Linked DNA regions of Oryzias latipes. The protein of the gene in region 1 purifies or fractionates together with the protein of each later gene. This does not show direct contact. Links are inferred from orthologs where the notes say so. Each region holds a gene or a part of one and is shown on either strand. Other genes may lie near its edges.

What was found.
Region 2: the proteins of mcm3 (region 1) and mcmbp purify together in Homo sapiens (affinity purification with mass spectrometry; 10 studies listed by BioGRID and IntAct, counting the BioPlex papers as one, with this or other methods). This does not show direct contact. The link is inferred for Oryzias latipes from reciprocal best matches to the Homo sapiens genes MCM3 and MCMBP.

What each region holds. Positions count from the first base shown.
Region 1 is NC_019882.2:13,463,908-13,468,364, reverse strand, and holds the start of mcm3 (DNA replication licensing factor MCM3), read left to right. Parts: upstream 1-1,457; 5' UTR 1,458-1,876; coding exon 1,877-1,951; intron 1,952-2,074; coding exon 2,075-2,187; intron 2,188-2,628; coding exon 2,629-2,837; intron 2,838-2,908; coding exon 2,909-3,039; intron 3,040-3,105; coding exon 3,106-3,344; intron 3,345-3,420; coding exon 3,421-3,529; intron 3,530-3,611; coding exon 3,612-3,765; intron 3,766-3,898; coding exon 3,899-4,030; intron 4,031-4,105; coding exon 4,106-4,314; intron 4,315-4,387; coding exon 4,388-4,457. UniProt on the Homo sapiens protein: Acts as a component of the MCM2-7 complex (MCM complex) which is the replicative helicase essential for 'once per cell cycle' DNA replication initiation and elongation in eukaryotic cells.
Region 2 is NC_019873.2:29,884,337-29,888,835, forward strand, and holds the start of mcmbp (mini-chromosome maintenance complex-binding protein), read right to left. Parts: upstream 3,026-4,499; 5' UTR 2,873-3,025; coding exon 2,815-2,872; intron 2,177-2,814; coding exon 2,085-2,176; intron 2,016-2,084; coding exon 1,875-2,015; intron 1,793-1,874; coding exon 1,751-1,792; intron 1,678-1,750; coding exon 1,588-1,677; intron 1,513-1,587; coding exon 1,389-1,512; intron 1,311-1,388; coding exon 1,165-1,310; intron 1,096-1,164; coding exon 998-1,095; intron 927-997; coding exon 754-926; intron 1-753. Other genes in the region: sec23ip (SEC23-interacting protein), read left to right, coding at 3,439-3,571, 4,131-4,499. UniProt on the Homo sapiens protein: Associated component of the MCM complex that acts as a regulator of DNA replication.

The DNA.
Region 1 (4,457 bases):
TGTTATTTAAAAGGGAGAAATATTCATCTCACCTGCGCAGGTAGACCAGACAACAGCTTTAACTCCACCCGCTTGGTTTTAACCTCAGACCGACTCTCTTCCAACAAAAGGCGAGCAGACGGGAGTATTCAAACACTAACAAGACATGATCCAGGCTCTGAACCGGCAAAAGCAAAACAAACTGGAGAACTGGGGAAGGCGGAGTCAAACTCACATGACACGCCCACCAGATGTAAAAAGTCACATTTTTATGAATCAACACGTCTACATTCACATTTTCAGGGCAGCAGAATTCTCTCATAAATATACCACATGTACGTTTTTTAATTAGACGTTGTTTCAATAACTGTATATTACAGTTTTTCTCAGTCGCTTCAGTACAATTCTCAGATCAGAATGAAATTCCCAAAACTATTTGTTCAATATTCACATCATGATGTCACTTATGCACATCATATAAGCAGTTTCTCACTTCTTTGAACAAGTTGCAGTTGCTTTGGTACATCCATGCAAATGATTATGTACAATTCTCTGCTCTTTGCTACATTATCAGTTGTTTATGTCATGTTGATCAAAAATGTATTATATAGTTCACCTTGCAACAGTCTTACTCCTCAAAACACCTAGTCATTAGTTCATCGTAAGTCGTCAACTGCAAAATGGTTGACCAAGTTGTCATAATGTGACAAACATATTTCACTGCATTGCAAGAGAGGCTATTCGCTGTGATGTGGATGAGAATTCGTGGCCTAAAATACAGGAACGACAAGAGGTGTAGGAAGACCACACCAATTCCTACTGCACTGCCTGTACTGTTGTACAGAATATTGTCCTTTCTTTTATTTTCCGTTTGTGTTACTGTTTGCGGTGTTTTTTTTTTTATGTTGGTATGACATGGTCTGTCAACAAATTACAATATGAACAATAAAAGTGTAAATGTGAATCTTGTCCAGTCTCTTGCAATCAAACAGAAAAGGTGTAACTTACATTTTACAATAATTGTCATCCAAACTTTAGCCATAGTTTACATCAGAACCTCCCTCTAAAGTACACAGTTATATTGACAACATGACTAAGTAATTTGACTGTCTTGTTCGTAGACAATGACACAAGGACTTGACATTCTGATGGCACTGACATGTTCAATGACATAAAGACTTAGTTTTGAGAGATGAACCAAAGATCTATGCTGCTGTTTGTACAAATTGTTTTGAGAAATGCACACACGTATTTGCAAACTTCAATTCTGATCTGAGAATTGTACTAGAGCAACTGAGAAAAACTGTACCTGGTTGCATGTTTAGATAAATCCGAATATAAATAGTAATTAGGGAAAAAATAATTCATATTTATTTCCTCTTTAAAAACTTTTACTTGTTAGTTTTTTCTATTTTTTTTTACCGCTGTTGACTGCGGCTACCCAATATAAACAAACAAACAAAAAAGTCAAATTAACTTTAAAAGTCCAAAGGAAATGTGTTCTTAAGTTCTCCAGGATTTACATAATTAAAAAAATTCTGTAGTTTTGTTGAATTTCCGGTTGGTGTTTGTCGCCCTCTACTGGCAGAAATCTATAACTGCAAATTGTCTGGAAATGGACGCCCACCTCCAGACTCCTTCCTTCCGCTGCATTTTCGCGGGAGTCCTCTGGGAAGGCGGGGCCACAGAGGGAAGCAAACACTTTATTGGATAGCTGAACTGGGAGCCGAGGAGGTGGCTTGCAAGCTGGCCAATAGTGGTGCACGCTTTGGTGGCACGTGATATGTAGTGGCGCGAAACTCTTTCACTTGTGTGGTTTGCCTGCAGAGGAGCACACTGCGGCGGTTAAAGAGTTTTTATTAGTTTAAAGACTTAAAAACTTAACTTTACAACAAAGATGTCGACCGACGTCGTAGATGACCAGGAAATGAGGGAGGCACAGAGGGACTATCTGGACTTCCTGGACGACGATGTGAGTCTGCGGCAAAAAACTGTTCTGTTCTGTTTCTTTGGTCTCACGTGAAGTGATTCGGTTTTGGCGAAACTAATTATTTTTTCTGTTTTAATGTTTTTCATCACGACTTTTCATTTTTAGCAAGACCAGGGCATTTACCAAAGCAAAGTCCGGGACATGATCAACGAGAACAAAGCACGACTCATCGTCAACATCAACGACCTGAGGAGACGCAACGAAGCCCGAGCTGCAAAGTCAGAAACAACACAATGCAAACACAACACACACACTTTTCTGTAAACGTAACACGTGCACACAAAACAGCGAAAATCATAGGGCGATTTCGTGATCAAAAGGAGAAATGTAACGTTTTACTCTAGTTTATCAAAACGGTGATTTGGAGTCAATTGCGGCCCTTTTGTCTCTATTGAGGCTCATTGACTTTGAAAAAAGGTTAATAATTTACATAAACATTGGGTATGTTTTTTTTAACTAATTGTCTTTATTTTAAGTCAAGTAAATCTGCTGCAGCAGGAAATATAGGTTATATTTTATTTTGGGATATATTTAGGATATATTTTATTTTGAAAGGAATTTGTTACTAGTAGAAATTAATTACATTTTAATCATGAGTGAAGATCACCTCAGGAAATTCCGTATTTCTTTAATGAATTTGAACAATTTTCCTCTAACAGACTGATGACCAACGCATTCGAGGAGCTGGTGGCGTTCCAGCGGGCTCTGAAGGATCTGGTCGCCTCTGTGGACGCCACCTACGCCAAGCAGCACGAGGAGTTCTTCGTGGGTCTGGAGGGGAGCTTCGGCGCCAAGCACGTCTCGCCGCGGACGCTGACGTCCCGCCTGCTGGGCAGCATGGTTTGTGTGGAGGGCATCATCACCAAATGTGAGCACATTTCTGTTTGTGGGATTGGCAGAAGGACGGCAGAAGCCCTGATGTGACTTTGTGGTCTGTAGGTTCTCTGGTGCGTCCCAAGGTGGTGCGCAGCGTCCACTACTGCCCGGCCACGAAGAAGACCATGGAGAGGAAGTACACTGACCTGACCTCGCTGGACGCCTTTCCCTCCAGCGCTAGTTACCCCACCAAGGTACAGGTGAAGCTGCCATCTTAGCCTCCTCAGACGCGAGCTTTGGACTGAACGTGATGCTTTCAGGACGAGGAGAACAACCCGCTGGAGACGGAGTTCGGTCTGTCCATCTACAAAGACCACCAGACCATCACAGTGCAGGAAATGCCCGAGAAGGCCCCCGCGGGCCAGCTGCCCCGCTCCGTGGACATCATCCTAGACAACGACCTGGTGGATATGGTGAAACCCGGAGACAGGGTGCAGGTGATCGGAACGTACCGCTGCCTTCCTGGAAAGAAGGGGGGATTCACCTCCGGCACCTTCAGGTGAGACACGTTTCTCTGCCGCTTTCCGGGTTTACTGAGAAACTTTGACCATTAACTCAATTCTTTTGGGTTGTAGGACGATCATGATAGCATGCAACGTGAAACAAATGAGCAAGGAGGTGTCTCCGTGCTTCTCTGCCGACGACGCTGCCAAGATCAGGAATTTCAGTCAGACTCGCTCCATTGTGCGTCATTTTCCTCCCTTTAGAACTTCCTGTTTCAGCAGACAGAGACGTTGAAACATTTGGGTTTTTCTCCCCCCTGTAGAACGTATTTGACCAGCTGGCGCGCTCTCTGGCTCCCAGCATCCACGGCCACGAGTATATCAAGAAGGCCATCCTGTGCATGCTGCTGGGAGGCGTGGAGAAGGTTCTGGAGAACGGCTCCCGCATCCGAGGGGACATCAACATCCTGCTCATCGGTAAGACCACCGCAGGAATCCAGGAGCTTCTGGGTGGACCCACTTCCATTATCTTGTGATCTATTGTAAAAAGCGCAACCCCAACCCCCCTTCACCTCCCCGTTGGTGATCGTGGGTCTTTAACCTCTGACAGGTGACCCGTCGGTGGCGAAGTCCCAGCTGCTGCGATATGTCCTCCACACGGCGCCCAGAGCCATCCCCACTACCGGGCGGGGGTCGTCTGGCGTGGGTCTCACGGCTGCCGTCACCACCGACCAGGAGACAGGTAACCCCGCCTTTTCTCTTGACTAACTCGATCGTTCTCCTTTGCTCCACCGCTCAATGGGTTTTCTCCCCCAAGGCGAGCGGCGCCTGGAGGCGGGCGCCATGGTGCTGGCCGACCGCGGCGTGGTGTGCATTGATGAATTCGACAAGATGTCCGACATGGACCGCACGGCCATCCACGAGGTGATGGAGCAGGGCCGCGTCACCATCGCGAAGGCCGGTATCCACGCACGGCTCAACGCCCGTTGCTCCGTGCTGGCCGCTGCCAATCCGGTCTACGGAAGGGTAAGCCCCTCCCCTGCAAAATCTCGCCACACTGACTCCTACTTCCTTTCATCTACTTTTATTTTTGCCGCAGTATGACCAGTACAAGACCCCCATGGAGAACATCGGCCTGCAGGACTCTCTCCTGTCTCGCTTCGACCTTT
Region 2 (4,499 bases), on another chromosome or scaffold:
ATGTGTAAGAGGTGGAGCGGGGGGGGACAGACGTGTAAGGAGGGTGGAGCAGGGGGGCAGATGTGTAAGGAGGGTGGAGCAGGTGGGGGGCAGACGTGTAAGAGGTGGAGCGGGGGGGCAGATGTGTAAGAGGTGGAGCGGGGGGGCAGATGTATAGAGGTGGAGCAGGGGGGGCAGATGTATAGAGGTGGAGGAGGGGGGGCAGACGTGTAAGGAGGGTGGAGAGGAGGGGGCAGACGTGTAAGAGGTGGAGCGGGGGGGGCAGACGTGTAAGGAGGGTGGAGCGGGGGGGGGCAGACGTGTAAGGAGGTGGAGCAAGGGGGGCAGATGTGTAAGAGGTGGAGGGGGGGGGCAGACGTGTAAGGAGGGTGGAGCAGGGGGGGCAGATGTGTAAGGAGGGTGGAGCAGGTGGGGGCAGACGTGTAAGGAGGGTGGAGCAGGGGGGGCAGACGTGTAAGGAGGGTGGAGCAGGGGGGGGGGCAGACGTGTAAGGAGGGTGGAGCAGGGGGGGCAGATGTGTAAGAGGTGGAGCGGGGGGGGGGAGACGTGTAAGGAGGGTGGAGAAGGGGGGGGCAGACGTGTAAGGAGGGTGGAGCAGGGGGGGGGGCAGATGTCCTCCAGGTCAAACGTCTTGAGTTCCTGCGTGATGCTGATGAATTTCCACGGAAGCGACAGAATTTACTGGTTTTGGTGTTTCGGCGTTTTCTTCTAGTCTGGAATCATTTCTGTTTCTACAAAAACACGCGTCCTTACAGGCGCCGTTGTCGTCCGAGGTTGCGTGCGGCAGCAGCGGGTTGTTGTGTTGCAGCGGTTTGGCGTGGAGCACGTGAAGCCGGGGAACGAGCGAGGCCGGCGGGCTGTGCACACGCTGCTCCTCCGCCGTCTCCATGCCCTCCGTGGGGTCCAGGAAGGACGAGGAGGCGTCTCTGCGAGGAAGAAAGGCGGTGAGACGGGCAGCACGCAGACAGGGGGCGGGGCTACGAAGCGAGGGCCTCACCTCTCCTCCGCCAGGGCGCTGAGAGCGGGACTGACGGACAGGATCCCGAAAACCTCCAGGGCGTCGTTCAGCTTGAAGCTCTCCCAGTCTTCGTACACCTGCCAACGAGCACAGCCTGAGGATCAGGGTTCCCACCGGAGCCACCAACGCGCTCGTCCAGCTCCAACCTTCACCAGGCAGGCGGGGCCCCTCTCTCCTGGGAGGGGGAAGTTGAGGTCGAGGTGGGATGCGGACGCCGCCTGGGTGGGAGGAGCCTCCGTCTCTTGACGCTTACAGTCGGCGTTGCTCTGCAGGTCCGTTGGACCCTGAAGACCTGCAGAAATATTTGGAGAACGTTTGAGGGGGGAGGACGCCTAAGGTTCGACACCCAGCAGACGGCGAAGACAAACACCTGCGTGAGCTTGCTTCTGCGGCTGCGTGTCCATGTCCTCGTCCTCCTCGTAGCTGCGTTTCTGCCTGCTCGGCACGTAGGAGGTGGACGCCACCACGCGCGCCTGGCTGCTGCCCGCATATCCGTGCTCTCAGGTTAAGGAACAACACACAACTGTTCACACTGTCATCAGAGAACCTGATCCCTGATCCCAGGATATGTCCTTCACCCACAGGTTCTCCCCAGGAATGGGCACACAGTAGAAGGTCTGCCGCTCTGCCGTCACGGTGTTCTTGGAGTTAAAGTCCACCTGGGATTCAAACCAACAGCTGAGCTGAAGCGGCTGCACCACCTTTGAGGACAGCAGCAGGATGCAGACTCACCCCACATTCTGCCACATCCCTGTACTTCCCACAGTGCAGCATCTGGGGGTCAAACAGGACAAATGAGGGGGAGGGGGGTCAGCTGATGCTAGAGATGTGGGGGGGGGGGGGGGGGCACACTCACTTTAGCATCCGTGGGTCCGTCCACAGTCTCATACACTCCCATGTAGAACTCCGGGTCAAACATGTCCTGGATGAAGCAGCGAAACTTCACCAAACTGTTGGGCTTCAGGTAATGCAGGGGAACGTCGTTGAGAGACGGAACCTGGTCCAGAAAAGGACAAGGTCAGAACCGGACGGCCGGTGAAGACGCCGTCTGCAGGACTCTCCTCACCAAACTCTGAGCGCTCTTCTCCTTCAGCTGCTCCTTAAAAAACTCCACCACCTCCGCCTCCCACCCGGGGGAGGAACCCTTCTGCGCAGCCGCTGCAGCATCAAAGGAAGACGTCATTTCCGGCAGCAAATGAATGCTGCTGAAGGTTTAAACTACGGTTTGCATTTTATATTAACATGTGTGAATGTGTCATTTTATTCGATCGTTTAAAAAAAATGTTAAAATAACAAACACATTGGCATTAAAAATGAAATAAAGTAAATGTTTAATGAACTTCAAGATTGTTGGTTTCGTTCTTCATGAAGGAATTCGTCATCATCAGAGACTGTATATATGAAGTCACTTCAAAAGAACCAGTATGACAAAACAAAAACGTCTTTAGATCTAACAAAAAGTTGACGAACCCCGAACGACATTTCTACAGTCAGTAAAGGTTTCCGCGCGCCCGATTCTCGTCTATGTCCACCGACTGTGTCAATAAAGTTTTAAACTGATGCACCGCGGGCAGCGGCACCAGTGCGTCAGTTTCAGTGTCTTTGTGTGAAATGTAATAATAACCACCTGGTTTATTCCTTTCTTGTTGCTGTTTTGCATTGTTGTGTATTGAAATGTTACATTTAATAAAGTTTGTAAAGGAAAAAAAAAAAGCTCCATGTGAGGGCGGCTGGACGCGCGCGCGGCTAACGAGCTAGTCTGAGGCGTTAAGTGTTTGTGGAGGGAAGTTTCTCACCAAACTTCTCTTCAACAACACCGAGAGGTGCGTGAATCCAGTCCTGCGTGGAAAGCATCGCTAACCGGCCACTGAACCCGTGGAATCAAAGACAAACGTGCGAGGAAAACCCGCGCGGCTTCACTTCTCCGATAAGTTTTTCACTCACTCGGGATTGCAGAAGCGAGGCGCGAAATTTGCGTCACTGCGCACCAAGAGGGGGTTGGTTTGATTCGAGAACCGGAGTAAACCGGAGCGCGGAGCCACAAGCAACTTTTTGCTTTTGTTCACCGCCCTAAAAACTGGTTTGGATTCCGAAGTCGTTACAAATTAAGTAGAAATTTGTTATCTCTCACGAGATTTTACTTTGTTCTGACAAAAGAAGAAAAAAGGTGCAAAAAAAAAACCAAAGGAGTTTGAATCATCATCCGGGCCTCTAGATGGCAGCACCAAAAACATTGATCCCCTCGGGTCAAGCCAATCGGGTATGTTTCGAAGATTTATAAAACATCTGCTAAGATGTTTACTGAAATCTAGTGTCGCGTGAGTGTTGGAGATCGGGGAAAACTGTGACGTCAGGAGACGTTTCTTTCGCATTTACTGCCAGCCTGGTCCGGTTGTGGCTACGTGTAAATCCAGCTGAAAATGGCAGATAGAAAAAATAACAGTGGTCCCGACAGCAGCGCGAATTTACTCTTTAGTGCCGCTCCAGACTTTAGCTTTAACCTGCCTTTCATGCCGGTGAGTCAGGCGTCGGGCCCGGCGGTGCTGTCAGGAGGTGAGCGGAACCGCGGACGGAGGTCCGAATGTTGTCAGGGCGAGAGCTAGCTAGCTAAGCTAGCCGGTTAGCTAGCTGTGCTGCTTCAGCCTTTAAAAACCCTCAGATTGAGAGAAAAGATGAAAAAGTGACGCGTTTTATCTGCAACACTGGATCTGCTTTTGTTAAAAGAAAATGAGTCAGTTTAAACATTTTTAGTGAAGAGTTGTAAATGGATGAACTTTGTTCAGATTTAAAACAATGTTGTTGTTAAAATGCTGGAATCTGTCTTTTAGAGATTTATTTTATTTATATATTATACATGTATTTTAGTGAAGTCAACATGCTTATTGCCTGAAAACCACTCGATAACATCCTGTTTGATCGTTTCCACTTAGGAAAGGATCACACAGGATGTCATGGTGCTCATAAAAGTTTAGAATCATATGGAGAAAGCTGGAAATGTTGTGGACGGCGGTGAAGCTTCACTCCTGAAGTTTGATGTTTAGAGAAGCCTCACAGAAACCCTGACCTGCAGTTTCAGTGTCAGAAAACGTTGACCCGTCTTTGTGTCCATCAGAAGACTCTACTGACGTTGGAGAAGAAGACAGTTTCCTGGGTCAGACCTCGGCCAACGGTCCGCCGGCGGCCTCCTCCACCTTCAGCTACTTCTCCAACCCCGTAACGACCTCTGACCCCTTTGCCAGTATTGGTCAGTCACCATGCCCGCCAGCAGGACGCTCCTCGACCTTAACCGCTGCTGGACCCGTTTCTTTTCCCAGCAGCATCGCCATGTCTCCGCCATCCACAGCTTCACAAATGAACCCCCCTCCCTCAACGTTTGGCAGTGCTGTTTACCAGAGTCCGCTGGGACGACAGACTCCTCCCCCTACAACGATGACCCCGCCTCCTGCTCAGATGCAGCCGCAGCATCACAACCCGTACCGCC